Oreochromis niloticus: one gene and its partners. The protein of the gene in region 1 purifies or fractionates together with the protein of each later gene. This does not show direct contact. Links are inferred from orthologs where the notes say so. Each region holds a gene or a part of one and is shown in the gene's direction. Other genes may lie near its edges.

Evidence for each region.
Region 2: the proteins of tyrosine-protein phosphatase non-receptor type 14 (region 1) and si:dkeyp-72e1.9 purify together in Homo sapiens (affinity purification with mass spectrometry; 3 studies listed by BioGRID and IntAct, counting the BioPlex papers as one, with this or other methods). This does not show direct contact. The link is inferred for Oreochromis niloticus from reciprocal best matches to the Homo sapiens genes PTPN14 and STXBP4.
Region 3: the proteins of tyrosine-protein phosphatase non-receptor type 14 (region 1) and wwc1 purify together in Homo sapiens (affinity purification with mass spectrometry; 7 studies listed by BioGRID and IntAct, counting the BioPlex papers as one, with this or other methods). This does not show direct contact. The link is inferred for Oreochromis niloticus from reciprocal best matches to the Homo sapiens genes PTPN14 and WWC1.

What each region holds. Positions count from the first base shown.
Region 1 is NC_031980.2:10,014,552-10,025,531, reverse strand, and holds the start of tyrosine-protein phosphatase non-receptor type 14, read left to right. Parts: upstream 1-6,705; 5' UTR 6,706-7,118; intron 7,119-10,980. UniProt on the Homo sapiens protein: Protein tyrosine phosphatase which may play a role in the regulation of lymphangiogenesis, cell-cell adhesion, cell-matrix adhesion, cell migration, cell growth and also regulates TGF-beta gene expression, thereby modulating epithelial-mesenchymal transition.
Region 2 is NC_031969.2:440,797-450,857, reverse strand, and holds the start of si:dkeyp-72e1.9 (syntaxin-binding protein 4), read left to right. Parts: upstream 1-5,822; 5' UTR 5,823-5,852; coding exon 5,853-5,953; intron 5,954-9,166; coding exon 9,167-9,240; intron 9,241-10,061. UniProt on the Homo sapiens protein: Plays a role in the translocation of transport vesicles from the cytoplasm to the plasma membrane. Inhibits the translocation of SLC2A4 from intracellular vesicles to the plasma membrane by STX4A binding and preventing the interaction between STX4A and VAMP2.
Region 3 is NC_031975.2:30,433,762-30,444,023, forward strand, and holds the start of wwc1 (protein KIBRA), read left to right. Parts: upstream 1-5,122; 5' UTR 5,123-5,979; coding exon 5,980-6,098; intron 6,099-10,262. Other genes in the region: arl10 (ADP-ribosylation factor-like 10), read right to left, coding at 1-11. UniProt on the Homo sapiens protein: Regulator of the Hippo signaling pathway, also known as the Salvador-Warts-Hippo (SWH) pathway.

The sequences.
Region 1 (10,980 bases):
GGGGTCATTTTGCTGGTAGTAGATGGAATAATGATGAAGGAGATTTAGTTCCAAAATCTTCAACATCACGTCAAAACAGCAGTTCCAGCAGCACAGTGATCTCAAACACACATTAAAACTGCTTTGGATTAGGTGAAGCAGATGACATTTAGCTTCTAGATTAACCACATATTAGTGATTAATCTAATATTTGCCTCACAGGAACAAAGTCCTGAGTTCAATTCCCAGGGTATTGAACCCATTCATCAGGGTAGGGTCTTTCTGTGTGGAGCTCACATGTTCTCCCCATGTTTGTGTGGGTTCTCTCTGGGTACTCTGGCTTCCTCCCACAGTCAAAAGACATGCAGTTGGTTGGGTTAGTGGGGTTCGGTTAATTGGTGATTCTAAATTGCCCGTAAGTGTGAATGTGAGTGCGAATGGTTGTCTGTCTCTATGTGTTAGCCCTGGCAACCTATCCAGGGTGTACCCTGCCTCTCGCTCTAAGACAGCTGTGATAGGCTGTGTTTGGGTGTATGTAGTGGCAATTTTCTGACCTTTTGTCGCTTCTGCATGAAGTTTCTGACTCCTGCTTTTTTAGGAGGAAGCTAGCATGCAATTCAGTAGTAAAAAACAAAGAGGCGAATGTAAAAAAAAAAAAAAGGAGAAAAAAGTAATTTATTCCACACAATACTAAAAACTACAAAACAAATGTCTCCAGTTGGAGTCCTGGTTACCTGTTCATGTTTTTGTACATACCAGTTTTATAACATCTACCAAAACTGTACAACAACAAAACAGATCAACAAAGCGGGACGAATTTACCAAGCATAATATCTTAAATTACAACAAACACTTAAATAATCAAGATCAAACATGACACATAACACAGATTAAATTAAACATTGCGCAACATATTCAAGTGAAATATTGGCCTGAGTTCTCCACGGCTCTAATAGAGTGAAAACACACTGATGTCCAGTCCATTTATGGGCTTATCGATCCAACAAGGCAAGGGTGTTGAAAGGTCATGTAAGATTGGGTGAGTTTGAGTCAATTTACCATCAGTCACAATTATGTCTAAAACAGCCAAACTGCATGTGAAAAAACCTCAGTCTACAGGTGACCCTCAGCAGAATGAAAACTGATGTTTTTCAGCCCCTCGTGTTTCCTTTCACAATAAGATACATGTATTTATAATTTAATTCAACAAGGTGAACTTTCATATACTGCTGTGGTGTTACTGAAGCCCAGGTTGCTTTGATTGAGACCTGTCCTTATTTTAGGGTCAGGTGTTCCTCATCTTCCTGTACCTTACAGCTGCCAAGTACTTCTGGAAAAAGAAATCAACATTGCAAGCAAGCTTGTCTGCTGATGGAAGCATGAAGTCCTGAGAAATCCCCTGGTAGCTGTGTTGACTTTGGATTTGATAAAACGTGGCTTCCCAAATCATCACAAAGAGTGTGAACACACTGGACTTCTGCTTGTCTCTGCTTTTCCTTTTCTCTTTTCTTTCTGTTTTTAATTTGAAAAGAGGTTTTGGATCACAATCCATTTCTTTTTCTCCTTAGCCCAGGTAGGACGCTGGTCTAAGATCGAGACAGCTGCAGCTCCTTTCCTGAAGACACCCGTGTGTTGTGGCTCTGGATGGACTGACACTATCCTCAGTCACTCCTTGTGGAGTGCTGCCAACTTCTTGGCTGCTGCTTGTGCACTTTTTCCTTCCACATTTTTCACTACCAGTCAACTTTCCATTAATATGCTTCAATAGAGCACTTTGTGAACAGCCAGCCTATTTAGCAATGATCTTCTGTGGCTTACCCTCTTTGTGGCGACTGTTGATCATCTGGGCCACTGTCAAGTCAGCCGTCTTCCTCGTGACTGTGGTTGCAGGTACAGAACTAGGCTGGATTACTGAAATTCTTTCTTTCTTTTTTATATGTATTTTGTTTGGTTTTTTTGTGTTTTTTTTTTAGCATTTATTTGATTGTACAGTGGAGAGAATACAGGCTAGCTGGAAAAAAAACATGTGGACCAGGTGCAGCAAATTGCCTCAGAGCTAATTCAAACCCAGGCCTCTGCGTTACCCTGGTTGCATATGGGCCACCTGCTTGATCCAGTGAGCTAAACTAGTCCCCTGGGTATTAGTGGATTTCTGATTTTCATGAGCTGTGAGCCATAATTTGAAAAAAGGCTAAAAATGTTTTACTTTACGTGTAATGAATATAGGAAATACACAATTAAAATTCGATATCTTTTCAAATTAAATTATGAACCAAAATATACTTTCACAATAAAACTTTGGTTTCAAGCCTTCTCATCTCTTCCATTAAGTTGCATTTTGAGTTTATTTGAAAGAAAAATAAACTGGTAGTAATCAGAATTACACATTTCTTGACTCTTAGCATTACTGCAGAAGTGAAAATCTGATATTCTGAAGTATCTAAACCAGTTTATTATGTGGCGTTCTTTCCACATTGTACACGTGGTTCTGATTTTCTTTGATTCTGATGTCGTTCTCTGGCTCAACATTTTTCTGAACTTAAGACAGGATGCTCTCTATTGAACCCAGCAGGGAATTTAATTTTCTGCATTTAACCCACGCCTAGAACCGTAGCAGAGGGAAACCTGTGCAGTGAATTAACATGGCATGTTTTGATGGCAACCAGTGTTCCCAGAGTAAACTCCAGATCACTTCCACCAAGCCCAGGTTCAAACCCAGAACCTCCTGTCACGGTTAACAAGAACGTAGACTCAAATACTGGACTCAGACACTGGCAGCAGTTTACAGATTGTATTCATAGGTAATACTGAAACAGAAATAATTAACTCAGGTAAGGGGAGCTCAACAGGAACATGACAGGGGATTCTTTCTGCAGGAGAGGGAGACAAGAGGAGATCCTGGTAAGTTAAATGGCAAAAGTTGAATCAAATTAAATGGGTGGAACAGAATTTTAGAAACGTAACTCCACAATTGCGTTATACGTGTACAATGACAATGAAAGAGTCCTTTTCCAAACCAAGGATACCAGCCAGTGTGAAGCACGCAGTCCTTCTTGATGAGATCTTCCAGGAGAGATCTTACTGAATAAACCAGCTTCAGTTAACTAAAGGGCAAACAAGAGAATCAGATTACTGATAGCATATTCTAAACAGGACAAATGAGTTCGGCACAGGGCCTGATTACCCCCATTGGTGACAATGATTTGATAAGGAATATATGCACCAGCCAGTCCTTAAATGCTGCCTTAAATGCCCAACTGAAGCCCAGGAATCCCAAAAAGGGACAGAAAATCCAACCCACCACTAACACTGAGACTGAGACAGAAGAAAAAAGGCCTCTCCAGGGCCAGCTGGGACCATGACACTTCCCTGCTGTGGGCAACAGCACTGACCACAGAGTAGCAGATGCGCAGCATCAGGAATAAATAGGAATAGAAAAAAATCCACGAAAGACTCGACACAGGACTTGAGAGATGCACCCGACCCTTCAGTTGATCCATGTAATGTTCACAGGAGCCTCATCAGCAAATATTACAACACTTCTGTTGAATTCAGGAGTGTTTCAAACTGTAGCATGGAATGAAGCAGTGATAGTATTTTGCGCTCCCAAGGCATCTCCCGCAGGAAATCTCAGGAAGCAAAAGGCAAGGCCTTTCCCCCAAAATGCCTGAAATAGAAAATAAAGAACATATTGTTTCACTTGGAGCTCTTGAAGCTGCAGTGTCCTTTTTAAAGGCCTGTTGAAAACTCTTACACTTGAACTGTTCAGTGCTTCAATAATTTTAGACCTTTTTTTGTTGTTGTTGGAATGCATGGACGTGTTTAATGTTTCCTTCAACTTTTGAACATTGTTGTTGTTTTCAAGAATCTCTTTTATCAGCTTGTTGATCATCAGAACTCGGCTGAGATCATCGTGCTGAATTTTTCACACATGACAGAGAAACAATCCCGGCAGAGCATTTCCTGTATTTTTTAGTTTGATATTCCAAAGAACTTTGTTAGTAATTCCTCATCTACTTTAAAAACATTTCTGTGTAAGTCTTAGGGGCTTGTGATTTTTTTAAATGTTTTTTTTTCTTGGTTGTATCTATAAAGTTTGAGAAGTTGGCAGTGTGATATTTCATCTGTCGTTCCAGAAGCAAAATGCAAAATGCATCTGCTGCTAATAATTACGCCCCCATGATACCATAGTTTATCATTACTGCTCGGAAGAATAGACGTTTAATATGCCGGTAAAGCAGGAGAAGGATGGAGGATGGAATTTGGACCTCAAGGCAACAGCTTAAACTGTCAGGTTTCTCAGTAGAAATATTTCCTACATAATTCTTAAATGCAGGGCTTTTGTTACGCTGCATATTCAAAGCTGTCCGTCCCACAAAACTGCAGTTGCTGCACGCATAACGTGGTAGGCTGTTAAATGCCACAGGTGTAACACAATATTTGCACTGAAGCAATAATTCATTTCAGGTTACTGGAAGTTCCAAAGGCTGGGTTTAGGATTAAAGATGATCTGTTCTAATATATCAATCAAAATCAACACCTGTTTCAAAATTAGAATCAGTTTTATTACGACTAGTTGTCAGATGGACAAGGACAAGGTCATGTCCTTATTTTCTTAGCTTACCTTTTTCACTTATTTCAAATTTTTTGAATGATTTAACTAGTATCATCTAAGATCCTGGTTCTCTGCTCCTGCTGGCTGTCAATTGCTTTTGAGCCACAAGAGGCTGCAATTCGGTCACAAATAAGATGGCTTGTGCTACCTTTGAATTAGTGCTATTTTCTGCCCAACTAATAAGCCTTATTTTAGTTTAGAGTAAATAAAAAGAAGCCGAGAATTTTGCTTCTTTTATGTGAAAACAATATTTTGAGGTGACTCTACTGCACTTTGATTGCTCTTACTGAGTCTCAGATCCTCCCAAAGAGGAGCTCAGCTGAATACCTCTTTAATAAAGCTGTGAGGGATGTTAATAATGAATCTGCACTTTTTTAAAAAAAAAAAGTATTTTTCCTCTCCTGTGGTATAATGAAATATTCCGCAGTGGTGTGCTTGTAGGATGCAAAGACTGATCATCAGCGGTGATATTTATGGAGTATGCTTTGAAATGGTCACTCGGGCTTGTAACGGCATGAAGCTAGTGGGTGAGGCACATTAAACAAGATATATTCTTCCTTTATAATATCCTCAAAGTCACTTGCAGTTTGTTATCCAGGCAGTCATTGCTCTATACATTACTGTATAATTTTAAGTCTATCAGTCTTAGGTCAAAACAGTTGTTTATATTTAATGAAATCTGAATATAGTCGACATGCATTTGAAAAAAAAGTTCATTATCGCTCCACCATGGCTGTAACTCAAAAGATCTGACATAAATAAGTGAGGGGACTCCTTTGTTCGACATTTAGTCACCTCTGTCCCCCCTGGAAAACCATTAAACGAAGAGGACTTCTCCCAGGAGCCCGGGATTCCTCGCATTCCTCAGGTCTGATGTCAGAGTGGAGGGGGGCGGCGCTCCTGAGGGGACGGCGCTGTTGCGTTCAGGTCCTCTTTCACAGTGCGACCTCTGAGGTGTGTGCGTGTGTGTGTGCGTGTGTGTGCGTGTGTGTGTGTGTGGGGGGGGGGGGTGCAAATGAGCGGCGAAAACGGCACGTCCAGTCTCATAGCCCAGTTGTCTCGTGTTTTTTTTAATAGCTTACTCAAGCAAGAGCAGTAATAATTTCCATCCATCCATCCATTCGCTTCCGCTTATCCTTTTCAGGGTCGCGGGGGGCGCTGGAGCCTATCCCAGCTGTCATAGGGCGAGAAGCGGGGTACACCCTGGACAGGTCGCCAGTCTGTCGCAGGGCCAACATACAGGGACAGACAACCATTCACACTCACATTCACTCGCACATTCACACCTAGTGGCAATTTGGATTATCCAATTAACCTATCCCCACAAGCTGCATGTCTTTGGACTGTGGGAGGAAGCCGGAGTACCCGGAGCGAACCCACGCACGGGGAGAACATGCAAACTCCACACAGAAAGACCCCGGCCTGATGTTGGAATTGAACTCAGGATCTGTGCGGCAACAGTGCTAACCACCGTGCCACCGTGCTGCCCCAGTAATAATTTAACAATACAACCCCCCCCCCCCAAAACTTTAAAACTCCACAAGTAAGATAATCCATTTTCGATGCTTTGTATTATTGTGTTTTGTCAAAATTAGATTAGATTATTGTGTCCTATCTTATTTTAATGTAAGAAAGCCTGCCTCAGATTAGGCTGCTGGAGTCTATCCAAGCAATTGTATTCTAAACGTAAAACTGCAATTTTTCACCAACTTACTGAGACTTATTATAATTAAAGCTTTTATAAAGGTCGTGGGCAATCACTGCAATCCACTAAAACTGTATTGTCATAATTACAAGCAGGCCTGCCAAATTCCCACCTTACTGCTTCTGAGTACAGTTTAGAGAAATTCAATGGACGAGTCTTTCCTTTGATTACTTAATTTGAAAAATGTTATAAATAAATTAATTAAAAAAAGAAATACTCACATATGATTACAAAAATAACAAATACACTCAATAAAAAGAAAAACTTTAATTTGACAATTAATTAATAGGTTTTTCCTCTCGGACTCTTTGACTATTATCTCGAACTTCAGCCTCTTGGGACGTTCAACGTAAGGCTCATTTTTCCGATGCAGTCTTCAGCTTTTGAACGTAGCTGCAGCAAGCGGCTCTGTCCGCCTGTCCTGAACGCCTCCATTGGACTAGAGGGACCACTATAAACATACGAAGAGTCCCAGCGAGAGAAGACCACGTCGCTTTATCCAAGTCGGACAACTTTTTGTGACTGTTTGTGTTTCCTAGAAAAAAATAAAAGGCAACAAAACTGCGAGAAGAAGGAGGCTCAAGATTTGGTCTGCCTCTGCGACTTTTTTGGTTGTTGTTAAGGTTGAGCTCATTTTGATGTGAGAAGACGCAGATTTTTCTTGTTCATGCCGGATTTTTATATTTTTTTTTATATTTTTTAAAGTTAGTTAAATAACTTAAGGTGGATTATCTGTTTGCCGTGAGTTCCAAACCTCGACAAGCAAAGAAGAGTTTCTTCAGCTGGGAGAAGAAATCGGCATGTAGCGCAGGATCAGGGGTGAGTTCTCTTTTAACGGGGGGGAAAAAAGCGAAAATCTACCTCAGTCAAAAAGAGTTCAGCTTTGCTCTTCATGGTTTCCTGCAGATCTGGAAGTAGATCCAAACTCTTGTAAAGTCCACAGTAGGAGTGCTTAGATGTAGGTCAAGTGACTTGGCCACGTAGGGCAAAAAGGAGATCCAAACTATTTTAATGCCCCCCTTTCTCCTGCACATAAACATGCATCACCATCACAGACAGAGCCTCTAAATCCCCCTCTACATCTAATAAGATGGGAGTCTGTGCGATTCCAGAGAAAACTGGGAAGTTAGAGAACCTGTGTGTGGCTGGAAAACCGCTGAAAGATTCCCCGGAGTTAATGAGGTAATCATGAAATTACACGACTGAACTGGGCTTTGGAGACCCAATGGAGCCCTCTGTAAGATCCAGTTTGGGTTTGGGCAGTGGGCTCATGCCATGTGGAGTGCGCAACACCCGGAATTTCTGGCCCTTCCTCATTTATTTGTCATTTTTGCATGTGTACATTACATTTCCATAATCCCTGACAGAGAATGCATCTGTAAATTCACCTCGTTGAATTGTATTAAACAAGCTTGGTGGCTGAATGGTGTGTTTGAGTATGAGCAGCCTTCCTCTATAAGCTGATGATGGACTGATGTCCTCACACCCTGGCTGCAAACTGTGTGTACTTGTTTGTGTAGAAAAGAAAAATGTGTTTGAACATGCACCTTGGACAACTAGCATTACTGTAAAAGGGGAGTAAAGGCAACACAGCATAGCTGCTGGAGGCGTAGGGTGTACACACACACACACACACACACACACACACACATCTGGCTGTCTTTATAAGCTCAAAGGCATGCTGCGTAAATTACATGGTGCCCGAGCAAGTGGCTTGGGTGTACACAGCAGTTTTAAAACACTGGTGGAGATTTTTAAAGGACTAAAAGGCAGAGTAGAAACCTCCATCCATGCTTCTCTTTTGTGGAGTAGAGAGTCACAAATCTAGTTTGTCTTTCAGTGCCATTTTTGGCACTCTCTTTCCTGCTTTTTATTCAAGGAAAGTTGCTGAAATGTTAATTCCCAAAAGGGGTGTTTTGTTGAAGGTCAGCCCGGTAAGATCATAATAGGTGTTTACTGCTTAATGTGAGCCTGCGTCTAAAAGGAAAAGTGGCTATTGTTTGTGTAGCCAATGGTCATTTGAGTCTAGAGGCCATTTGATTACGGTGTGGTGCAAACATACCTGTAATTTTGGTCAAGTGCTCACACTGTACCACAGGAAGAGAGGGGGAAAAAACAGGCAGCAGCAGCAGCAGCAGCAGCAGCAGTTATTGTAGTTATTGTTATAACAGTTTAACCAAAGTGGAAGAAATGCATAGAATTCCTTCGTAGTCAGCTTGTGGTTCACTTGTTATTTTACACCATAGCTGCACTGCAGTAGAAAATGGAAGGGGTGAAGAAGGCTATGACCTCTTTTTTGTGATTAAAAGTGATTACATGTCCAAGGCATTGACTTAAATACAGATGAAACTAATCTGCAATGAAAATAGGTGCTAATCTGCTGATAGCTTCTTTGGCCATACCCAATATAAAACACTCACATGTGCAACCAAAAGTCTCACATCTAATAGTAATGACACTGTAGTGTATTTTTCATAAATCAAGTGTTTCAGTGTGTAAATAATTGTCCCCTATATCAACTTACATGCTAATACTCTACCTTTAAATATACTTTTTGTATTGGAAAAACTTAGCAGTTATTTCTTGTCCTTGCAATGCTTTTAACTTTAGTTGTATACAAAGACTGTATTTAAATGATGGATGTAAGCGCCTCTATGTCACCTACTTCACAGGTCTGTGAAGTCCTGTTTTGAAGCCTCAATGCTAGGTTTGCCTTTGACTATGTTGCCGTTTTGGTGTGAGAAGTGACCGTATTTGGATGTTTAGGTGGAGCTCTGACTTCTTAGATGGGTTGTTACGGTTCTTTTAAGCCCACACAGAAAATTATGTTGCATTGTTGTCACTTCGGCCGGTCGTGTACCTCTCGATTTCTGTAACCTGGGTTGAAGACACAAGCGTACAATCGTGTCAGCTTTTAACACCATTTTAATGATGTATCACTACAGTAGCTCCGACATACAGATATACATTGGGAGATTTTGGAGCAGTTTAGAAAAACAAGACTTTTTGGGGAAAAAAAGCTAAAGAAAACAAGACGTTTCTAATCCTGAATTTACAATAGCTGATGGATTCTGCACACTGCAGGTGTGAGGGGAGTTTATTCCACAAATGACCCACACTAAATCCTGCCTCATCTTGTTTTCTTCTATTCCAAGTAAACCTGTTCCTGAGGACCTAAGAGGCCCAGAAGCCTCATAGCCCTCAAGTAGGTCAGCAATATATTTATGCTTTATAAACCATTAGCAGAATTCTAAAATCAGTCCTTTTACACACAGGAAGCCAATGCAACGAGTTCAAAATTTATGTAATATGATCCATTTTCAGCATTTTGAAAAAGCTGCAGCTGATTAATTGATGTTTTATTAAGACCAGTAAAAACTCCATTACAGTAATCTAGCCTACTGAAAATAAATGCATGAATAAGCTTTTCAGTTTCTTTCTTTGCCACAAGACCTTTGGTGAATTAGTGAAGTGTGAATCTATTCCCACAAGGTGCCAGCAGCAACAGCAGCATTAAAGCAGAGACGCAATATAACATCAAGTGACACAGCATAAGTCAAATGTAAGCACAAAAGTAACCGAGGTAATGTTTTCCTGCAAATTATAAGTCAAAGTAGTACGTGACTGCTTAACAGTTCACTTTAACAAGAATTAAAGTAACTTAACAGTGTACCTTTTCAGGATTTTGCACAATACTGTCATTGTCAACATTTGTTTACATTTGGGTTAGGGCTGTGCGATATGACCAAAATCTCATATCCCGATATAAGAATTCTATCGTCCCGATAACGATATAAATCACAAAAATGTAACATTTTCTGTAAATTATGTGAATCTCGGGCAGCTCGACTTGCGGGAAGTGTTTCCAGCTGCGCGTCATGTAGCTGGAGTCGAGTATTTTAACGGATGCATAAAACTATACATTTTTAGACATAAGTTGTAAGGCCGCCGTTTTCTTTGTGAGTATTTATTACACGGCGTGCTGCGGGGAAAAGCCTGTTCTAACGTTTGAGTCTAAGGTTTGTTTTTTAGCACCTGGCGGCTCTTGTTTTGCTTCTCATCCGTAAATAATCTGCTCTTTCACGTGATTGAGTTTATTTTGAAAAGTCTCAACAGGATCTTGAGCTTTATTGTGAAGGGTTTATGTGGAACATAAACAAGCGGACACGCGATGGTGTTACCGTCATTGTTGCTAACCGCAAGGCATAAAAACAAGCGCTTGTCCGTCCGTAGTGTGGTTATATTAAATATAAGAGAGAGAGAGAGAAATTACGAAATTAATATAGCCACTACAGTGACCATCAAAACGATGAAAAAATATTGCCGTAAACAGTTTATTTTGCGACACCACGAAACAAACGATAGCGTAAAATGAAACGATAGACGTTTTTATATCGTCATCCGATATATATCGTTATATCGACCAGCCCTTATTTGGGTTGCACATCACTGGCTGCTAGCATCTCCTCCTTTGTAGCCTGCTTGTATTAGATGTCATGTTTTTTGCTTCATGTGGTGGAGCAAGTTTGTTGTCTTCATCTTTAGCGGGAGCAGTTTTTTTTTCACATAGTTTGTAAAGAGCTTTGTTTGAAATTTGTGAAGTAGCTCCTTTTAAGGTATCTGGGCTTGGGTCACATAAAAACGAATACAGTCTTTATCGCGAATGATATGATCATTAAAA
Region 2 (10,061 bases), on another chromosome or scaffold:
TTAGAAAAATCCCACGGCACACCACCAAACAGAAATGTCACCAAAAGCATACTGATAAGTCTTCCACCAGATATAGCAGAACTGGCTCAGTTTGTCCCCAGTTTACCTTTGTTGCTTCCTTCTAACCACTACTCATGCTCGGGCCTTCACCTGGGTCAGAGTTTTCTCCAGGACCAGGTCAGACTGAACACTTTTTCTTTTCAAATATTTATCTGTTGCTATTACACACTGCATCGTCTCACTCACAGCATGACTATTATGTTATTTCTTCCTCGTCTTCTTCTGTTTTACTGCCAGTCAGCAACCCATTTTATTAGAGCAGGTAGTTGTACTGCCCTCTAGTGGTAGAGAATGTCATTGTTCTGCCCGTTACTCACGCCGCTCGCTTAGAGTACCAATCAGGTGGAACCAGATAATGTTCCACAGCACACCTGATCATTTCTCACAGTCAGGGGCAGATCTAGAGAAATTTTCTTAGGGTGGCAAAGAAATCAAATGGGGTGGCAAAATCAAGGCCTTTTTTTTTCAAACACATACGCAGGTGGTTACATATGGTTAAAATAATTCAAATGCAGTAAATATACATGTTTTTCATATAAATATAGTCTATAACTTAATTATTGTCTGTAGCCCACATAATTAAACACTTTAGTTGCATAAAACATGTGAGTTTTGATTTTATCTACAGTACAGCCTATATAATAAATAAATATGTAGCCCAATGAGTATGTAGAAAGCTACACAACATGGGGCGGTTCATTTACAAACACAGGACTAACTTAAGTTTCACACTGTTTTTTTTCACAAAATGTCAGAAATCTGCACTGTCATGAACAAAAATTTAAACCTAATTTTTCATGATTTGTTGGATGAACCCACTGAGGTCTGAAATACAACCGGACATTTTGACTCCTTTTGAGTTTACGTTTGTATTTCACCCTCAAATTGTTTCAATGTATTTTTTCCCCTTGCCTTGTTTGGTATCATTCTTTTCAGCTCAACCTCATGTGTCTGAATTTAGTTGTTTTTTCACTGACATACTGCATTAATATTACTGATCTGAAATCACACAACGTACTTAAATTCCTAGTAGTATTTTTTTTACCGTAACCCCCCCCCCCCCCCCCCCCCCCACACACACATGTTGAGTAAATTATTTTTATAACATGAAATGCAAATATAAATTGTACATTTTCAAAAGTGAAGCACACATTTTGTAAACATATACAACTATTTATCTATAAATGCAGCCAATACACCTGGCAGGGTTTCTTTTGTACAACCATTTAAAAATATTACTAAAACTAAAATGAGAGAACAATCAGGTTTCGCAATAAGATGCCCCACAAATGATGTGTGCCAGTAACAAAAGACAGAGGAGAGCAGCACAGGGAGAAACCTGCAGGCCTGACAGCAGCAGGTGTATCACTCCGCTGGTTTTCTACTTAGTGACAGTGTTTACATTACAAATGTGCTTTTGTGACATTCATTAGTGCCCTCACTGACACACAAAACAAAACAACGACTACACAACACAACACACTAATGATACACTCCACGCTGAACATCACAAATCTCCCACATCTAAAAACTCTCTCTCTCACTCGCTCGCTCTCTCACTCGCTGCCGTTACCCTCACTCCCAAAACTTTCCCCTCTTCCTAAACAACCAAATCCCACGTGACTTTTTTTTTAAAAAATGGTACAATTTCCCATCGATAGGAAAGAGGTGGCTTTTTTCTTTCTTTACTGTTTTCTTGCTGTCCTTAGAAAACGCTTAAAAAAATTAAAAAACACACAAAAAAACCATGACGACAGTATTTAAAGAAAAGCAAGGCTTATGTATATTTTTTATCATAACTCTGGATTTATTGGCCCGCATTTACAGTTTAAAAGCCAATGTATTCCCAGTGCTTGGGAACTGTATGCAGCGTGGACAGCCGAGTTAGTGATGAGGGTCTGTTTGTGTTTTGTGGAAAGTGTCTGGGACTGTGAAGCCTTGCCTGGTGCAGGCTCTAAAGGATGAGATGCTTCACATTTGGAGACAAATCTCAGGTTGGCTACCACTGCAGTCAAGTATTAGCCAAGCTTACATCTGTGCTCCCAAATCCTGTCTCTGGAGTCAGTACAAGACCTCAGGGTTTGGTAAGGGCCTGGAAAGACTCCAGTTTCTTTAATCCCAACAGCTGAAAAACATCACAAACCTTGTCCTGGCTTTAGACAACTCACTGGTTTAATGGTTTTGAACTGTTTTTACTATATCTCTGCTGTCACTGTAATAATGGTATATTTTATTGAACTGAAAAACTGAAAGATTGAACAGTAAGGTTCTTTTTTGTTTTAATAACAATATCTTTAACTAGGTCTTGTAAACCTGAGTGTGTAATCACACGTGAGTCCACGTGATAGTCAGACTGGGCTAGGATCAGTTTTTGAAAAGCTTAAAAGATGAATTTACCAGCACGGACTGAATTCATGAATCCAGCGTGTAGTCGGAACAGAATTCAGAGAGCGTCAGGGTCTATCAGCATCAATAACCACACTGCTGTCCTTTTAAAGAATATGATGTGGATCCACACCAGATTAATCTGCTCGTCAACTGGTTTCATTAAATTTAGCTTGTTTATGTCATTTTGTTCATGGACAGATAGAATCTTTTATTAGTGCATGAGTATCGTTCAATATAACAGCCTAATATAAGCTGACTGGTTTAAATCTTAGTCACCTGAACTGAAATGCACTGAGTATACACTTCTGCATTTTCATTCATTTTGAGTAGTCTCTGAAACTGATCTCTGAGGAAGCCTGGCTAGTCCCCATACTGCAGCAGTAATAAGGATAACTGTGTCTAAGTTACAGACCCGAGTTCATTTTTCAGACTTGCCAGGCTGGCTCTCTCTGGGCTCCTGTTTGCCCCACTGAGCACAGCTATTTACTGTGTCTAAATGAACCCATGCAGGCGATATCTCCGCACAGCCAAGCCTCAAACATGGATGTGAAACTCCAATTCATATCTTGGCTCTTTATCCCATCAGTGACATCCGATTCACAAAAAACAAAAACAGATTTAAAACCTAAAAATCAGAGTGTTAAATAAGACTACAGAGGTCAGTGGGGACATTCAACTAACATAGCAGTTTAGTGCTGGTAATGGTAACATCAGTGATAGGATTTATGCTTCAAACATCATTAATGTGTTATTTATGCTGAACACGCCTGGGTGTCTTTTGTTTATCTGTTGGTATTTTTATCAATTTGTGTTTAGCCTAACATGGCAAAAACGTCTCCCAAAACAATCTATGTTGCACAGACTAAAAGTTTAAATGTACTTTCCAGGAAACATGCAGGTTGTATATCAAAAATACTGAGGAACCAACTGCAGACATGACGGCAGGCTCCAAGAACACAAGAACAAGCTTTTGTTAGAAAGTTAAAGTCCAAAAACACACAGACCGTAGAATAGAAACTGTTCAACAGAGGCAAACAGGACTATACACACAGAGTAAATGCTAATGGTAATTAGATACAGGTGTACACAATCAACACAACCACAGGCAGGAAGTAAAGCTAAATGCAAGAAACAGAAAAAGGAAGTAATGTTAACTAAAGGAAGAAGCTCAGAGACTGATGTAAAGTTAGGAACTAATAAACGTTAGTATGCACAGTAACTAGAACTCAGTGAGTTAAGAAGAAAATGTAAAGAAGCAGGAATGAAAGAGAAAACACGTAAAGATAATTAGGGCAGCTTTAGTGTGAAGTAATAGCAATACACATTTAAAAAGTTTTAACAGATTGAAGCAAAGCAGACTGCAGTCTGTTTCACACACAAAGCAAGAAATAAACCCACTGAGATGTAACAACTCTGTGTGTGTCATACAGTCTGATCTGTGCTTGGAGTATTTGAACAGCCTTCTTGCAGAGGCCTATATTTAGCACGTGCTTGTGCCATATGGATTTGTGTGCATAAGCTTATCATGTCTTCATCAATATCATCTCTCCATATCTGCTTGGCAGCTGCGGTGCATCATGATTGGAAATATGCAGAGTATATGTTAACAACCACAAGCTAACATCCAGGCTTTTGCACCACAGCACAGACATGCTTCAAAGGCTCAAAGTGCCTCTAGGATTTGCCAGGTAGGTTTTCAGCTGTTTTCGTGGCTCAGGCTGAAGCTGCTCACAAATATCTCAGCACCCGGTGCTCCAGGAAACGTTCCTACGAATTTTTCTGTTATTTATCGTTTGTGTCAAAGATTTCTTCTGCTTGGACCTCCTGCAGCCTCAGGCCCGTGTCACTCAGCAACTTTATTTGGGGGCAGCACTTCATAATACAGCTCACAGATAATGGTGTAATTACTGACCAGTCACCATGATTTCTTTATTCGTTTAGGGGGGTAACTTTCAGCAACTAAAATTACCATATGAGAAAGAATGTTTATGTATTTTTGAATTATTAAGTGGCTTTGGACATTGGTAAATGACACTGTAAGGATCTACATGTAATGATAATTTCAGGGAATTTTAGAGGCAAGAACCTTAAAAAATATACTTAGTGTGTTTTTTCTATTCAAACCTCCACTTGTACTGTACCTACCAGTAAGGATATTTTACTGATAGAAAATTACACCTCAAATCTAGAACAGTTACACACCAAATTCAATCAAAAAGAAACCACAGAGTGTATACTGGAACGCTCCCCCATTTATGAATGTAGTGTAATGTAACAGTGAATCCAAACACAGGCAGGTTCAGCAGGTTTCACCTGTGTCATGTTGCTGGGTGGAATCAGTGTGGGATTGCTCGGCTGTATGCACATTTCTTTTGCTTTGATCACTTTGAACAAACAGCTCAGTTACAGTGATCAGTGTTGTATCTTTAAGCGTTGTCGCCTCCATTTGATTGATTGATTTTGTCTTTGCATTAAATTCATTTTAGGGATCACGGATGAGGCTGTCTCTAACCAAAAACCCTTCCTAGCAGCACTGAGCTGAGACAGCACTGTGGTAACTTTTCTTTTTCTTTCTCGCATTTTTGTAACATCAGCTGATCAAAATACAGCCAAAATGAAGAATCGTTGTTTGAGTAGTGAAGATGACAGCACGGAAGGTCTGAATGACAAAAGATGAAGGCAGAGTAATGGATGTCATCTGGGGATTAAATTGCAGTTTCTAAATGGAGAGTAGGGCACTTGTGCATTAATGTGTTTAAAGGCTCGTAAGCCCCTCCCTCTCTTTGGCTCAACAACTTGTTAGCGCAATGGCCAATATCGTCTTAAAAGAAGCTGTGGTTGATACAAATGGAAGTGTGGGTAGAATCTATGGAAAGACTAATGTTCAAGCGTAACGTGGCCAAACACAATTAAACACGTTACCATAAAAGTAGCACAAACATCCACAGAGAGGGGAAAAGCCAGATTCCGTTGAATGGAGCTGTTCCCCGCAACAAAAATAAAGCCGCTGCACGGCCACAGCAAGAGAAAATGACAAGTGGGGAGAGAAATGTGTGAGAAACAAACCACCGAATCATTTCCAGCCTCAGAGGGGGTTTTTTTTTTTCATTTTCCACCGACTTTAGTTATGTAAGAGATTAACCGTGTGGCTGAAGGTGGAGATGTTTGGAGCGCACAGGCTGCTTCGCTGGAATTAGTGCCTGTGCACCGTCATGTGGCTGCTGGCTGAAGGCTGAACGCTGCGACCGAGCCTCCGCCTGTCTCACCGGAGAACCGGGCTCCATGTCAACATGCCAACGTTTTCAGTCATGTACAAAGGAGCTGTGATCATCAGCAGGTAAAAGCGAGCGGTTGTGTGTGCAGGTGGAGGTTAGTCTGTGTGACAGCAGCGGTGGAGTGACACGATGCTGACAGCTGAACTCTGTAAACACGGAGACGCGTTTACTAACCATAGCCCTGTCCCGTGGAAACCAAACACACCGCGTGTCTTCTCGGGCTTTATCTGGTAACCGTGACGCTGACTGTCCGTCTGTAACACAGGCGCATGTTTCTGCTTCGTGTCTCAGGCAGAGCCGTGCTTCATGCTCTTCTCTCAGGCTTATCGATATGTTCTAGTTTTCCGGGTGAGATGATGCAGTGATCTTTCTTGCATGTGCTACAAACGGATGAGCTCCACACCGGAGACCAGGTGCTGTCCCAAGTTTACTGTGAAAAGACTCTATGAGGCACTTTGTCAGCTCTCATGAACATGTTGGGAGCATTAGCGGGTTCCATTGTGGACATTTAATATTGAATCTGTGCTTTTATTGTGTGTGGCTCTTTGATTTTGTCCTTAAATGTTGCTGATTTGTTGATATGTTTTACCAAAGTTGGAACATTTACTGACAGACTTTTGGAAGCTTGTCTCATCGACTTTTTATCCGTTAGGGTGAATGATGCAGTCGGCAGTGTGGAGCTGCTTCAGGGAATTGTGCAGTTATGTTTACAGTATGTTTCTCATGCCACAAGTTATACTTCATCGATGTGTGTCTAACAACACAACCACTGAGGTTTTTGAATGGCACCAAGCTTCAGCGAGTGTATTCGTGACTCCTGTCATGCCCATAGACTGTATGAACCTGGATTCAGGGGTTAGTAGCTGTAGTTGCAAAAAGACTGTAAGTCCTGTAGTGTTACATGGGTAAACGGGCATCTGCTGTCACCTCTGGAAACACACAAGGCATTAACCAATGAGCAGGTGGTTTCATAGCTGGATCCACCCCTCACTGCCATATCCAGGTTGGAAACAAAGCGGTCGGTGATTCACATTGGCCTCATCCATCCGTTATGTTGTCTGTGGTCATGCCCATCAGGTTAACTTTTGCCACTGTATTGGTCTGAATGTGATATAACTCAGTGCACTCAATTTTTTTTTTTTTATGACAATTACTCAGCAAACGGTACCTGTAGACCTGAGGGTTAAACTGGGACTGGGGAAAGGGGGGAACCTTTGTAGCTCTTCAGTGGCAGGAAATGACTGATCAGCTGACCTGTGCTGGTTTTGAGGTTTAATGCTTTTTGTGGATTTTACCAGCTGGATTCTAAAATATATATGGAGATGTTACGTGAACCATCGTGGCTGCTTTCCAACTCCTGGCCAATGTGACCTTTGTACAACCACAATTCCAAAAAAGTTGGGATGTGGTGTAAAAACACATTTTATTCACAATAGAACATAGAGAAAGCATCAAATGTTTAAACTGAAACATTTTACTACAGTCCCGATCAAAAGTTTAAGACCACTTGAAAGTGTTGTTTTCAATAAACTGCATGATCAAAAAATATTTTGCCTCACTCCCATTTCTTCTTGTTGCATGTTGAAGCTCTACTTGGAACCTTGTTAAGATCCAACCATGCAAAATAGGATTTTTTGCCATTTTTCAAGTGGTCTTAAACTTTTGATCAGGACTGTATTTCATGAAAATGGCATCAACATCTTTCAAAAAAATTGGGTCAGGGCAACAAAAACTAAGTAAGTGGTACTGAAAAGAAACAGCTGGAGTAACATTTAGCAGCTAATTAGGTTAACTAGTAAGTAACACAGCTGGGTATGAAAAGAGTGTCGTGGAGAGGCAGAGGCTGATGAAAAAACTGCCAACAAACTGTGGTGCAGTTTCACAATTTTCTTTCGTTTTCTTTTTTTTTGTTTGCGATCTTTGGTCCTTCAAGCAGCATTGCATTAAAAACAGGCACAATTGTGTGGTGGAAATCGATGCATGGGCTCAGAAACACTTCCTGTGTGGGACCACAACTCGCCGTACTGTCCACACATGCAGGTTAAAGTTCCACCCTGCAAAGAAGAAGCCATATGTGAATATGATCAATGATTCTCTGGACCGAAGCTCATTTAAAATGGTCTGTAGCAAAGAGGAAAACCGATCTCTGGTCCGAGGAATACAAATCCAAAATTCTTTTTGGAAAATGTGGATGTAGCATTTTCAGTAGGATAAACGTTTCGTCACTCATTCAAGTGCAGGTTTCCCCAACCTTATAAACAGTATATTTGCATAAAAACTGAAACTAGCACCACTGAACAACGGGCTGTGAGGTCAGTTTCTTGATCATTAATATGCAAATTGTCATGACCATTGATCGAAAACAACCCAATGCAGTAAAATGAATCCAAACCACAAAAATACAAAGAACAACAGTGAATTCAGGTGTTCTAGTGTGAGACTTTCTATATCCATCCTTAACAGATGATGTTAAAATGTCCAGCTCCATGCTGAATGTTGCGTCTTTGTGTTATCAGCCAATGAGCTGGGCTATCAGAATATCATCTAAAGAATTTGAAGCTTGAAGACTGTTATTCTGTACACAGAGCTGCATTCTGCTGCGACATTCATAAAGCCCGGAGTTCAGAGTTTCCTCAGCCTCATTGTTTTTACTGGCAGCAGTGGTGAACCCTCTGCAGCTAAAATGTTGATAGTCCTTTTTTTTTCATTTGGGTGTAGACAGGAAGGGAACTGCAAACTAAAATAAAGTGCTAAAAAGACATCGTTCCAGATACCAAAAATGGTTTGTTCATTTGCAGTATTCTGCATTGTCTTTTGTAGTGTCTAATGAGGGAAGCAAAGGGATGCTTTGCAAGTGTTAGATGAGGATTAGTAATGAAGAAAAAAGGGGAAAGCTGCAGTGTGCAGTCCTCTTGTGCGGCATTATTGCATAAGATGAACAACATGTGTGCCAGCTCTATCTCTCAGAGATTATTGCTCACTGTGTGAGATCTTACCAAGATGCTTTTGAGTTACCCAATGCTGCCGTCTCATTTCTGCTTCCTCTGCTACTGTCACAGCTGTATTTGGTCTTGTCTTCAAACAGCAGTGTGAGGAAAAATACACCTTTGTGTTCATATTTTGAGAAAGATTTTTGACAGTAATGTATATACATAATGTATAGAAGACTCTCATTTGCACAACCAAGTATCTGCAGCACACACTCAAGACACACTCCTTGACTTGTGTGGTGACAAAGTCTCAGGCCTAGTCAGGATAAGCTATCTGAGGTTAAGTTCCCAACACTATAGTGCTCCTATGGATTCTGACTGTGTAGCTGTGCAGCCTGTGAAAGAAAATAGTTGGATTTTGGGTTTTTTTTCCCTATTTCGTCATCTTTTTCTTCCTCACTCTCCTTCCCTTCCCTGCTTCCCGCTTCCTTTTTATCCATTCACCTCTAACAGGACACTAATGGGTCCATACGGAGTCGACCGAGCTGTTCATTCCATGGAGTTTACAGACTGTGAGAATGGCCTAGGTAAGTCTTTTCTTACTTCTGTCCCCACAAGTAACACACCTCAACACTCGACTATTCTCCTTTGTGCTTGCAGAGGTCATATGTGTTGCTGCTTGTAGTTATTGCTCTGGCTCTTTAACTTCAATAAGATGCTCAACTTAAGCTCCTGCAAACCAAAGTTCTTTCATTTTTTCACTTGCACTTGTCTGACTGCTTACACAGCTCAAGTTTATTCAGTGAGGGAGACATTCAAATAGTGATTACTCAAAAAGTAGCTAGTACTCTGTAATGTAACGTAGTTAATAAAAAATGTCCATGAAATGACATTGACTTTAGTGATCCATTAGTTTGTGTACAATGCAAACTTTCCACAAGACATTAAAGGAAAAGAACGATTTTGGAAGTTCCATACATTGCAAACAAAAACTTACCAACACCTAGACCATTTGGACAAGAACAGGAAGACAACCAAACCAAAGACAGGATAAGTGGGTGGAAAGGAACCTCAGTGAACCTGAAAGAATGTGCTAGCCAAAGCCAATTTGGCATTTCTCCACAACAGCTGCAAATAGTGGATCTTTTCACAGTCTTGGAAACAGTGAGGATTAACAAATTAACACAACCTGAATTCCTCCGTCTAACCTCACAGTACAATAAGAGAAGGCCAACACATCCCTGAGTGAAGACCAAAACATCACCATATTACCAACTGACAAGGGGACATGCACTGTTGTTCTAAACTCAACTGATTATTACACCAAGATTCATACACTCCTCAGTGACAACAACCTATGTAGCCTTAACGTGAGACCCCACAAACAACTACAAAAAGAAAGTCACCA
Region 3 (10,262 bases), on another chromosome or scaffold:
AGGAGAACCATAGGTGGCGGGTGAGGTGGCGGAGGGAGCCGGGGACGGGAGCCGGACGCACCGCTGCTGCTTGTTCCTGGACGCCAACGGCTCGACTGACTTCCTCGTTCCTCGCGGCTCCGCGCTCGTGCTGCGGCTGGGCGCGCTACATGTGACCGAGCCGCTCCGATGTTTTTGTTCCCAGACGCAGAAAAAATGCTGCGTTCAGGCTCAGCTCGGAAATTTCCCCTCTCCTCTGTGCAAGCGCGTTTAACTAATACACTGACGGTCAGCACACTGTGACTACTTTGATCACTGATTAAGAACAAAATGTACTTTTTTCTTTTTTAATCTGTCATAATCCAATGATTTATATGATGATTTTATTTGTTCCTGGCCTACTAACGTTGATACATTTATTTATTATTGCGTTATAATAATATAAAATTATTGAATTTTGTGAATATGCATATTTGTACGAGAGCCCGACTGATACCGATATTTGGTGATTTAAGCCTCCAATATATCTGCCGAAGACTTCGACTTTTAGACACATGAAACATAAACAGATTCCACTCATATTTTGTTGTTTGGTGTTATTAATGAGATAACAGTGCAGCTTATAAAGAGTCTTCTTTTCTTGTTAGAAGTCATGGATAACTATTTACACAAATTCTGCTCGGATCAGCTGATTATTGTATTTGTAACGTTCCAAGCACCTGTTGCAAACAGCGAAGTTCTAGCGCACTCCCTGGTGGACAAACCAGACTATGCAGCAAAAAACATTCATAACGTGATTTAAAAGTTCTTCTTTAATTCCTTCTTTACTTTTTCACTTATCAGCTGTTTTAAATCCCAAGGCCAATATAAAGGTAGACAGCTAGTATTTGTGTATATATACTGGTACATCAGATACTAATATTTAATTTTTAACATTATTTTAAAATAGTAAAAAGAAACTTTAAAAACACTAATTATGAATTATTTATAAAGAAAATTTACATTTTATTCTAACAATCTTACTGAATTACTAAATGAATAAATACTCTTATCATGCTGTAGAATTTCTTAGATTAATATTGATTTAATAACATCGAATCACTGCACAATATTGAAACAGTCTCTCCTACTTTTTTTTTTTAGAGTAAAACTTATTTATTAAAATTAACTCATTAATAAAAAATGTATTCATTTATTTCCAACATTTCAGAAAAAGTATTGCAATATTGTAGCAATATATTAAATTATATTACAAATGTTGATATTATAGCAATAATTATTACTGAATTCATAATTTATAGTGATGTGGAGATTTTTAATTTTATTCAAATATACTTTAATTTTAATTTATTATAAAAATAACACATATTTAATGCATATTGTCAAAATAACATTAAATTAAATCTGTTATTCATTTTTTAATGTTATGACCTGTACAGAACAACCTTAAGGACCTAAATAATTGTTTTATTCCAAACAAAATGAAGCCCTGAACACAGCTCCACATGTGTAAGGCCGCCGTGTGTTCTCTTTAAAACGTGCTTAAATCAAGTGACATTTAAACAACAATACAAAACCTTAATGTCTGTGTCATCTCCATAAATCCATCTCTAAAAACATGACCTTACATATGTGATAGGTGTTTATAAACTGTAATAAAAGTCTTCCTCCATGTACAGTCATCTTGCTTGTTTTGCAGATGTCTTCTGCAAAACAAGCAACAAGAAAAGCAGCAGTACCCCACAGTGATGTACCCCACAGTGAAGTGCACTGTGGGATTTACTGTTGCTGTAACCAATTACAATAACATTAAAAAGAAATATATTTCATGCTTCACTTCAAATTTAGTGGATATTTTATTCCTCTCATATAAAACAATTATGAAGGGAAGTACAGTGTTTGAATATTTCCTCCTGAAAAAGCAGCACAAATCTAGCAAAGTGCTTCATTAAGAAAGCACTGAAGCTGAAAACACGTCTGTTAGTGAGGGCGTTTTCTTTTTTTCCACAGTAACAGAGGCTTCATGGAGGCCTGATCCTGCATCCCACAGCAGGCACAGCTTTATTCACTGCTTCCTGAATACAGCAGTGCCAAAAGAGTGACACAGCAGCCGGGATAATGATGGAGAACCAGCGCCGTTTTCCCCTTTATAAAAGGCCAGTAGTGATATAAACCAGTTTAAAATAAAACTAAATAAAATGAAAAATACAAAATAAAATAAAAATAAAATGCAATTAACCCAAGACAGCAGTCAAAGTGATGTTTATTTTCTTTTGCAAATCAGTAAATCTAAACATAGTTTTAGTTGAATATGAGAAAATATTTTTTTGTGACGTTATGTTCTAAGTTGAAATCTTTGTATAAGTTTTTGTTGTTCAAATTTAGATGATGAGGAAATGATTAAGATGTAAACATAAGGGGGTAGGGCTAAATAAGTATATACTTCTGCCTACTCCTTTTTAAACAACTGCATGGAATGATATTATGAAATGTTGGTGAATGTATATGTTTGAAATAAAAATGAACTGAACTGAACTGAAATCTGTGATAATAATAATAATGATAATCATGGGTAACAGGTATTAGGGCACTAGTTCTGGGTCATATCTGCTCATTCTAGTGATTTAGACGACCAGATTAGTGCAGTGGGAGCTAATGTGGACTTTTTCCTACAGCGCTTGAAGGCATCAGAATTGTAAAATGTTAGGATGTTTGGGTTTCACTGTCAAACACAGCAGGTATTGATGTTACTGTGCAAAGCTTGGTGCTATATAAATATTCAAAAATTTGCGTACTGAACTGCAGCTCTGTTTGCAAACAGAACATAAAACATTGATATGCAAATGAATTAATCCAAATCTTTTGATTGGACATAGTCCAAAAAAAAATATGTCACATGATGTTCATTATGAATTTAGCAACAGCTAAGCAATAGAAAACTGTTGTTTAATTTGTTTAATGCTAAAAACAAACAAAAATTAAAATAACTGATGATGTGAATTAAAACCATGACTGGACATGAAGAAGAGCTTCGCCCAGAGTTTTTACAGATAAATATAGGGAGGGTTTCAGCTCTCTGTGGAAGACTGTGCATGATTCATTCATGGTACATAAAGTCGTTAAGATTCAGAGAAATCTTCATACACAAGGTTAAAAACCAGGCTGTGAGCCTCAGGCCTTCAGGCAGCACAGCACCAAAGACAGAAATGTGGTGATTCTGTGGTAGAAATCAATTTCTTAAAAACACGTCAGTGAATGCAGCTCATCACTGCGTCCTTCAGTTTCACTTGAATCTCTGTGAAGGAAAAACAGAAACAAGGCCGCGAGATAAACACTGCCGTGAAATTCAGTTTGGAAATCGTGAACATCGTGTTCTCAGGGCTAAAGAAGAGAGGAACCTTTCAGCTGGAGATTCAGTTAAAGTCAATTTAATTCTGAGAAAACCCCAACAATCAGATGACTCCTATGAGCACACGCTTTGGTGACAGTGGGAAGGTAAAACTCCCTTTTAACAGGAAGAAATCTCGGGCGGAACCAGGCTCAGGGAGGGGCGGGGCCATCTGCTGGATAGGATAAAGAGATGCTTTGGAAGAGAGCCAGAGATTAATTATAACTGATGATTAAATGTAGAGAGGTGTATAAAAACACAGTTAGTGAAGAAGATGCACCCAGTGCATCATGGGAAACCCTCAGCAGCCTAAGCTTAATGCAGCCATGCCGGTAACATCTGCACTATGAAGCAGTTTCACTCTTTGTTCTTGACGTTGGATTCTTGTGTGAAGAAATATCTGCACGATGGAAGAATCTGCAGGTGATGATAACCATCACTTCTCCCAACCTATTCAGCACTGCGGAATATTGACCTCCAGGGGGCGCTGTGGGCTTGAAAGTTTGGGCAGGCTGGGAGGTTTAACTCTGTAAATATCTGCTAACAAATAAGTGAATAACATTTAAAACCAGGCGTTATGAATAAAACACTAATGAATGAGCCACAAAACTGAACAAAACTTTAAGTATCACCATAACTCACAGCCTACAATGAAACTTTCTGTCAATAAAAATAATAAAAGTTATAAATGTGGAAGTTTATCTGGGTATTTTTGTTTTGTTTATTTGTTTGATTTAATTTTTTTTAGACCAAATAATTTAAAAAAGTACAAAACAGCCAAAATATAACGGTTAAAATTTACCAATAATAATAATAGTTATTGTTACTATTAATATAGTAATAATAAATAATAATCCATAAATATCCATATAATAAAAAATCTAAAATGAAATAGGTTAAGATAAGGACTTTTTTTTCAAAATTCTGAATGGATTCTTACTGTTGTAGTAGAATAAAAGTATAAATCATAAATAAAATTATACCACAAACTATAGAATATGCATAAATGCATAATTTGCATTTAAATATTAAATTAAGGTAGAACAGCAATGCTTCCATAAAAATAAAAATAATTTAATGAAAACAGAGTTACTGAGATTTGAAATTTTTGTTTTTGAAGTTTTTGCTTTCAAAATAATTCACTTTGATTCACTTTACAGAGTAGATTTGCTAGTTTTGCTAGTTTCAGGTGGATGTTTGATTATTATTTTTAATTATGAAAGTTGTTTGTCAGGAGCAAGATTTTGGAAAGTCGGAACAGCTGTTTGAATAAAAACACGCCACGTGTGCATTTCTATTTTACTGTAGGTTTTATTGTAAGTTCTTTCCACACTAAAGGCAAGTCTTTATTCTTAGTGAATTTTAATCTTGTTTGTTACTCACTTAACTTAAGTGAGTAACTTAACTCACACCTAGTCTTGACTTTTTCAGTTATAGCCTTTTTAACTAACGTTTAGCTATAGTTCACTACAACATTCTCTTTTTTTTTAAACATAGATTTTGTTAATTTTAGTGATATTTCAATACAATAACCAAAAGTATTTACATTTAATTTTTACCATCGCTATAGGCCTTTTACTATGTTGTGTTATTCATAGAACCCTGTATATTTTATTCTTCTTCCTCCTGCTTTAAAACAATAATTTCCCTCATGGGATCAGTAAAAGTACTTTTCGGATATTGTTTTGCCCGGAAGTCTTATTTTGTTTCCTGGAGTTTGTCAACAAATGTTTTATTTTGAAACCGGAAATCGGGTTGAGTGGCTGCAGTTAGCTTGATCGGTTCGAGCGAAGTCATCGGGACCGAAGAAGACTTTACCGCCGCCGCTGCCGCTGCCTCCCTCTGCCCGGCTTTCACCGGAGGATTTTTACGGGATAACAAAGAAGTTCTTCGGCTATTTAGCGGATTTTAACGGCTGTGGATTCTCCCGGTACTTTTCTCCTTTCTCCAAGCGGCGGGCGGACTGTTCGCTGTCCCGCAGGCTGGAGGCTAGCGTCGGTTACTGCGGCTAAACATGGTGGCCTGTAGGCACGGAGAGGAGCCGAGCCCCAGCTCTGCGGGTTTGGGGGTGTTTTAAAGGAACGCGAGGGCGTTTTGGTTGCTGCTCCACCCTTTTCTAAGTCTGCGCTTTGTTAATCTGGAGGTTTCTACTGGGCTCCCCGTGTGTTTCCGTTAAACCCGAGCAGCAAGACCACCGGCGGCAGCAGGACCCCGTCCGTGTTCGGCGGAGCGTGGATAATCATCCCGAAAAAGTTCTTCCAGGCCGCCTCAAAGTTTGCCATCGGACCTGGGAAACTCCAGACCGTCCTGGACACTCCTCCAGCTGCTGTGTTTACGTTACGGATGCTTTGAGGCTCTCACACCGGGATGAATTGTTGCACAAGTGCAGCCTGATGAAACAGTTTGTTTTACCCCCTTCCTCCTCCTCCTGTTCAGGGTCTGATTGTTAATCTGAGGATTATTATGGATTGTTACCATGGCCTAATCCAACCGGACTCTGAATTTGGGGACTAACTGCAGATGTAGAGGCTGACTGTGATGGTGATGATGATGGTATCTCTTCGCGATGATTCTGAGTAGAGAGGAGTTCATTACATGGAGACTCGCCTGACATGCCGAGGAAGGAGTTGCCACTACCTGACGGTTGGGAGGAAGCCAGAGACTTTGATGGCAAAGTTTACTACATTGACCACATTAACCAGTGCACGAGCTGGATCGACCCCAGAGACAGGTAGGACTGCGTGAGAACAGGTGCCGTCGACCTTTGACCTCTGGCAGATAGTCAAAACACATACATGTGATAAATACATGCCGTGTTAAAGGCTCCATTCATGCGGTAAACGAGGTGGTGTGAGCCTTTTAGGCCAAACATCGTTGTCTGTTCATGAAGTCAATACAGAGTTCCACACCATGTTTGCACTGAAGTACCTTGATATGGATTTAATGTGCAATATTTAAACCTGCTGAAGAGGCTTTTCTGTTTAGGGAACTGTGGCAGGTAAAAGCCAGTCACACTGACCCCAGTAATACCTGATTTTAGGGACCTTGTTCCCAGTTTTCTGGCAGGTTGTTATTTGATAAGACATCATAGTAAAATCAGTGGTAGCAGGGGATGGAGGAGAGTTGGTATGAACCTTCCAATAAAAGAGTTGCCCAGTGGCTGACCAACGGCTAGAGACCGCCATCGGCAAACCTCTGCTACCTTGCTTTGATCACCTGCAGTTTGCTTGGAGGACGCCCACTCATTTGCAAACATTCACCAACTAACCACCAAGCAATTGCATAGAACCTCCCAAAACTACTCGCCAACTGGTCGGGAATACTTTATTTTTCCCTAGCAACCGCTGGTTACCAGGGAAACACTGACCAGTCGGTTTCACAGCAACCACTCACAGCTGGATGGTGGAATACTTGTTATTTCCTAGCAACCGGTGGTTGCCGGGTAGTCTCCAGCTGGTGTGACTGAGGTGTGAATGAAATGGGTGGCTGCTGGAGTCGTGGTGGGTGAAACAGAAGGTAATGGCTACCTGATGAATCCGCATCACAGGTGTGCACAATAATTAATTAATTGCAGTGAAAGCCAATCACCTGTGTGAATTATTATCTGTAAATTAGAGTGAATGCATTTTATGTATATATATATACTTTGGTAAGTATGGGAAAAACTCATTTTTACCCAGTAATGGTGCTTTTATTGCTGCAGTGAGGCGGCTGGAAGCTAGTGAAGTATTTTTGAGCTCTTGGCAGCCTGAACATGTTCATTTATTAATGTTTAATCAGACCACCTAGACTGCTCTTAAATAACTTTTTAGCAACGTTATTATTTTTGGCATCTGGATGGTTTGTCATTTTGTGTTTGTAGTAGATAATTTTTGATATCTCGCTAATGATTAAACGGGTCAGTAATGAACAGCCAGTCCAGTGAGGTTTGTTCCTCCAAATAACTCACTCCAAATACCAGTTTACCTCTGGGTGAGGAATCATTCCTTCTCTCGGGAATAATCTGAGGATGGGAACCTCGAGCTGAGTGTGTCACAGAGCAGAAAGCCTCATTCAGTTTGTTAACCTGTCATAAAACCTTGGTTATCTCACAGCTCAGGATGCCAGAGGTGCTTTCTTGTTTGCTCGTTTACATTCCTGCTGTCAGGCGTGGAGGTGTGTTACCTGTTCTTTTCTCCTCTCTCATAGAAACCATCAGTGTAATAGGCTTAAAGAGGCGAGCGTGACACGGCCTCGTATGTTCAGATCGCCACAGCGCAGAGGGGAGGGCGGGTTTTCACTGGATTTTTCAGTCTTACCAGTCACTTAAGACCCCTCAGACTTTGACACCAAATCCCTTTAATGCCTAATGTCTGGAAATCTCAAGGGTTGTTTTTTTTTTCTTTTCCGGGTGACAGAACCTGGATTCTTTCCCCCCAGTGTGTTTGGTTTACGTTTGTCGCTCCGTTTGACTCCTGATTTCCACATTTTCCAGCTAAAACTACAAGAAATCAGAAGATACAGGAGCCAGTGGCCATCATCATCATCAGTAAGAGTATTCCTCTGACTGCTGCTGAGCTCTGCTTTGAGTTCATTTGACCACGTTGTGCCTGAGAAGTGGTCGTGCTTCCAGCTGTCTGATTAAAATGAGGATGATTCCATCTTGACTCCATCTGAACTGAGTCCAGAATAATCTGCATCCAGATTAGTTTGTGATATTTTCTTTAGAACATCTTTAGAACATCTGCCTGTTTTTCTTAATCGAGAACATTTGACTCCCAGAATCATTCCAAACCTCTGATAAAGTTTCCTGTAAGTAAACGGACTCAGAAAATGCCTCTGGGGGGAGGGGCTGACTCTGCATGGAGGCATGATTCGTCAGAAGTCTGTTTTACCGCATTTAACAGAAATCTTCACATTTTTCCCACAATTTCCAAGCATGTGATATTCCAGGAATGTCTGCTATGTTTCATTAAAAACTCTGGTGAATAAAACAGTTCGAAAACATTTTCTGGCAATCTTTAGACGTCCTGCAGGTAAATAACCAGACAAACAAGCCAAACCAATCGCATAGCAGCCTAATAAATAACAGCTAATAAACAAGAAGCACTCTGAGAGTGCAAACTGCCACCAACCCTCTCGCTCTGTGGGCGGCCTTTGCTTTGAAGGGAACAGCGCTGTATTTTTTACACATTCACATTGTTTTCTTTGTTCTTTTTAAATGAACTTGGGGAAGTTTGTTGTGCAGTAAAAATCAGAGAAGGGCAGCATGACAGATGTTTACTTTGATTACACAAAGATGGAGTTTTAAATAACTGGACATGAAGAACCTGAGCTTGTGATTAGTGCTGGGCGATATGGAAAAAATATTTATCACAATATGAATTATTTCATATCACGATAACGATATATATCACGATATACCACCTGACCTGTGGTCATCTGGAAAGTATGCAGTCTGTAAACAGCGAGTGGAGAGGGTGCAGTCTTTGTTTTTGAGTTACCGTAAAGCATGTCGCAAATCCGGGTGCACGTAAAGCAGCACCAAAACCACAAGACGGAGTTTCATGGGAAAAATATCATTTTTTTATACTTTATTTTCTCTTGCATAAATTTAAGAGTATGTATAGTGAGAAGACAACACTAATATATTTGCCACAGGCTATTTAACCCTTTAAGACCTACCATAGAACCAAGTCTGCCAGAGCTTATCTTTACATTTTACATGCTGTAGTGCCTTTTGTGGGAGCATTTCAAGTTGCTATACATCAATACAACCATTATAGCCCAAATTTTAATAATATGTATGCATTAAGTCCATAGTAACTATATAAATTTCAAAAAAGTGCAATAAACAACAATATATGTTTGTTTGTTTTTACATATATTTCTAGTTAGAGAAATTTAAGAGGCTTTTCCCTCAAAGCTGTAAATACAAAACAGTTGCACAAAATAGTTTCCAACCACGAGAAATTTATTTTGAGTGTCTTCATAGTTTTATTTTTGAGATACACTAATTTTTATATACTACAGGAAAAATGAAAAATAAATATTATAATGCAAATTTGCAAAAAAACCTGCATGTGCATCAAAATAAACTATTTCCAACAGTGTAATTTGACTTCTAAGCATCCCAGAAACGATACAGAAAAGCATAAAGTCAAATATGACTTTTACAAACACCAACATAGGCTTTGAAGGTAAAAAACTACATTTTCCGCGAAAATGACGTCACTTCGGTTTCGGACAGGTAATGGCGGACATGCGATAGTTCGCGCTGACTTATATTCCAACATAGGAAGTGTTATGAACAGCTGATCGGATCGGCAAAGCGTGTTTCTGGAATATTATGTTTTTGTTGCTGGAAGTGCTTTTTATGTAATTTTTGCAAAGGAAACCGTGACCTCGGGCAAGCTAATGGAATAAGATGTAAGTACAACTCCTACGGTTTCATATGCAAAAAAAATTATTGCGCTACCTTACCTGGTTCCAGTTCTACAGGGATTTAAAAATAGGCATAACGGAGTGTGCCTGCTCCGACCGGTTGTAAAGGGTTAATGATATATTTTATGTAATAATTTATAAAATTAGGGTTAGAAACGATAGAAGACAAATGGCACGATAGACACTTTTCTATCGTCCACACGATATATATCGTCATATCGCCCAGCACTGCTTGTGATATATTATTATTGTACTACAGTTTATTTCTCACCAACTAAGCAGCTCACTGTCTTTCTCTTACTTTCTCTAAAACACAATGAGGTCAACTTGAAGGAAAGGCAGATGGGAAATATAAAAGTGAGGTCAGAGGTCAAATGTGACATGGTATTTCATGGAGGTTTGACCTTATTTGAGCTTGAAGAAGAGGTCAGAGGTCCAACGTGAGGTGATAATTTAGAATCCCCATGAATCA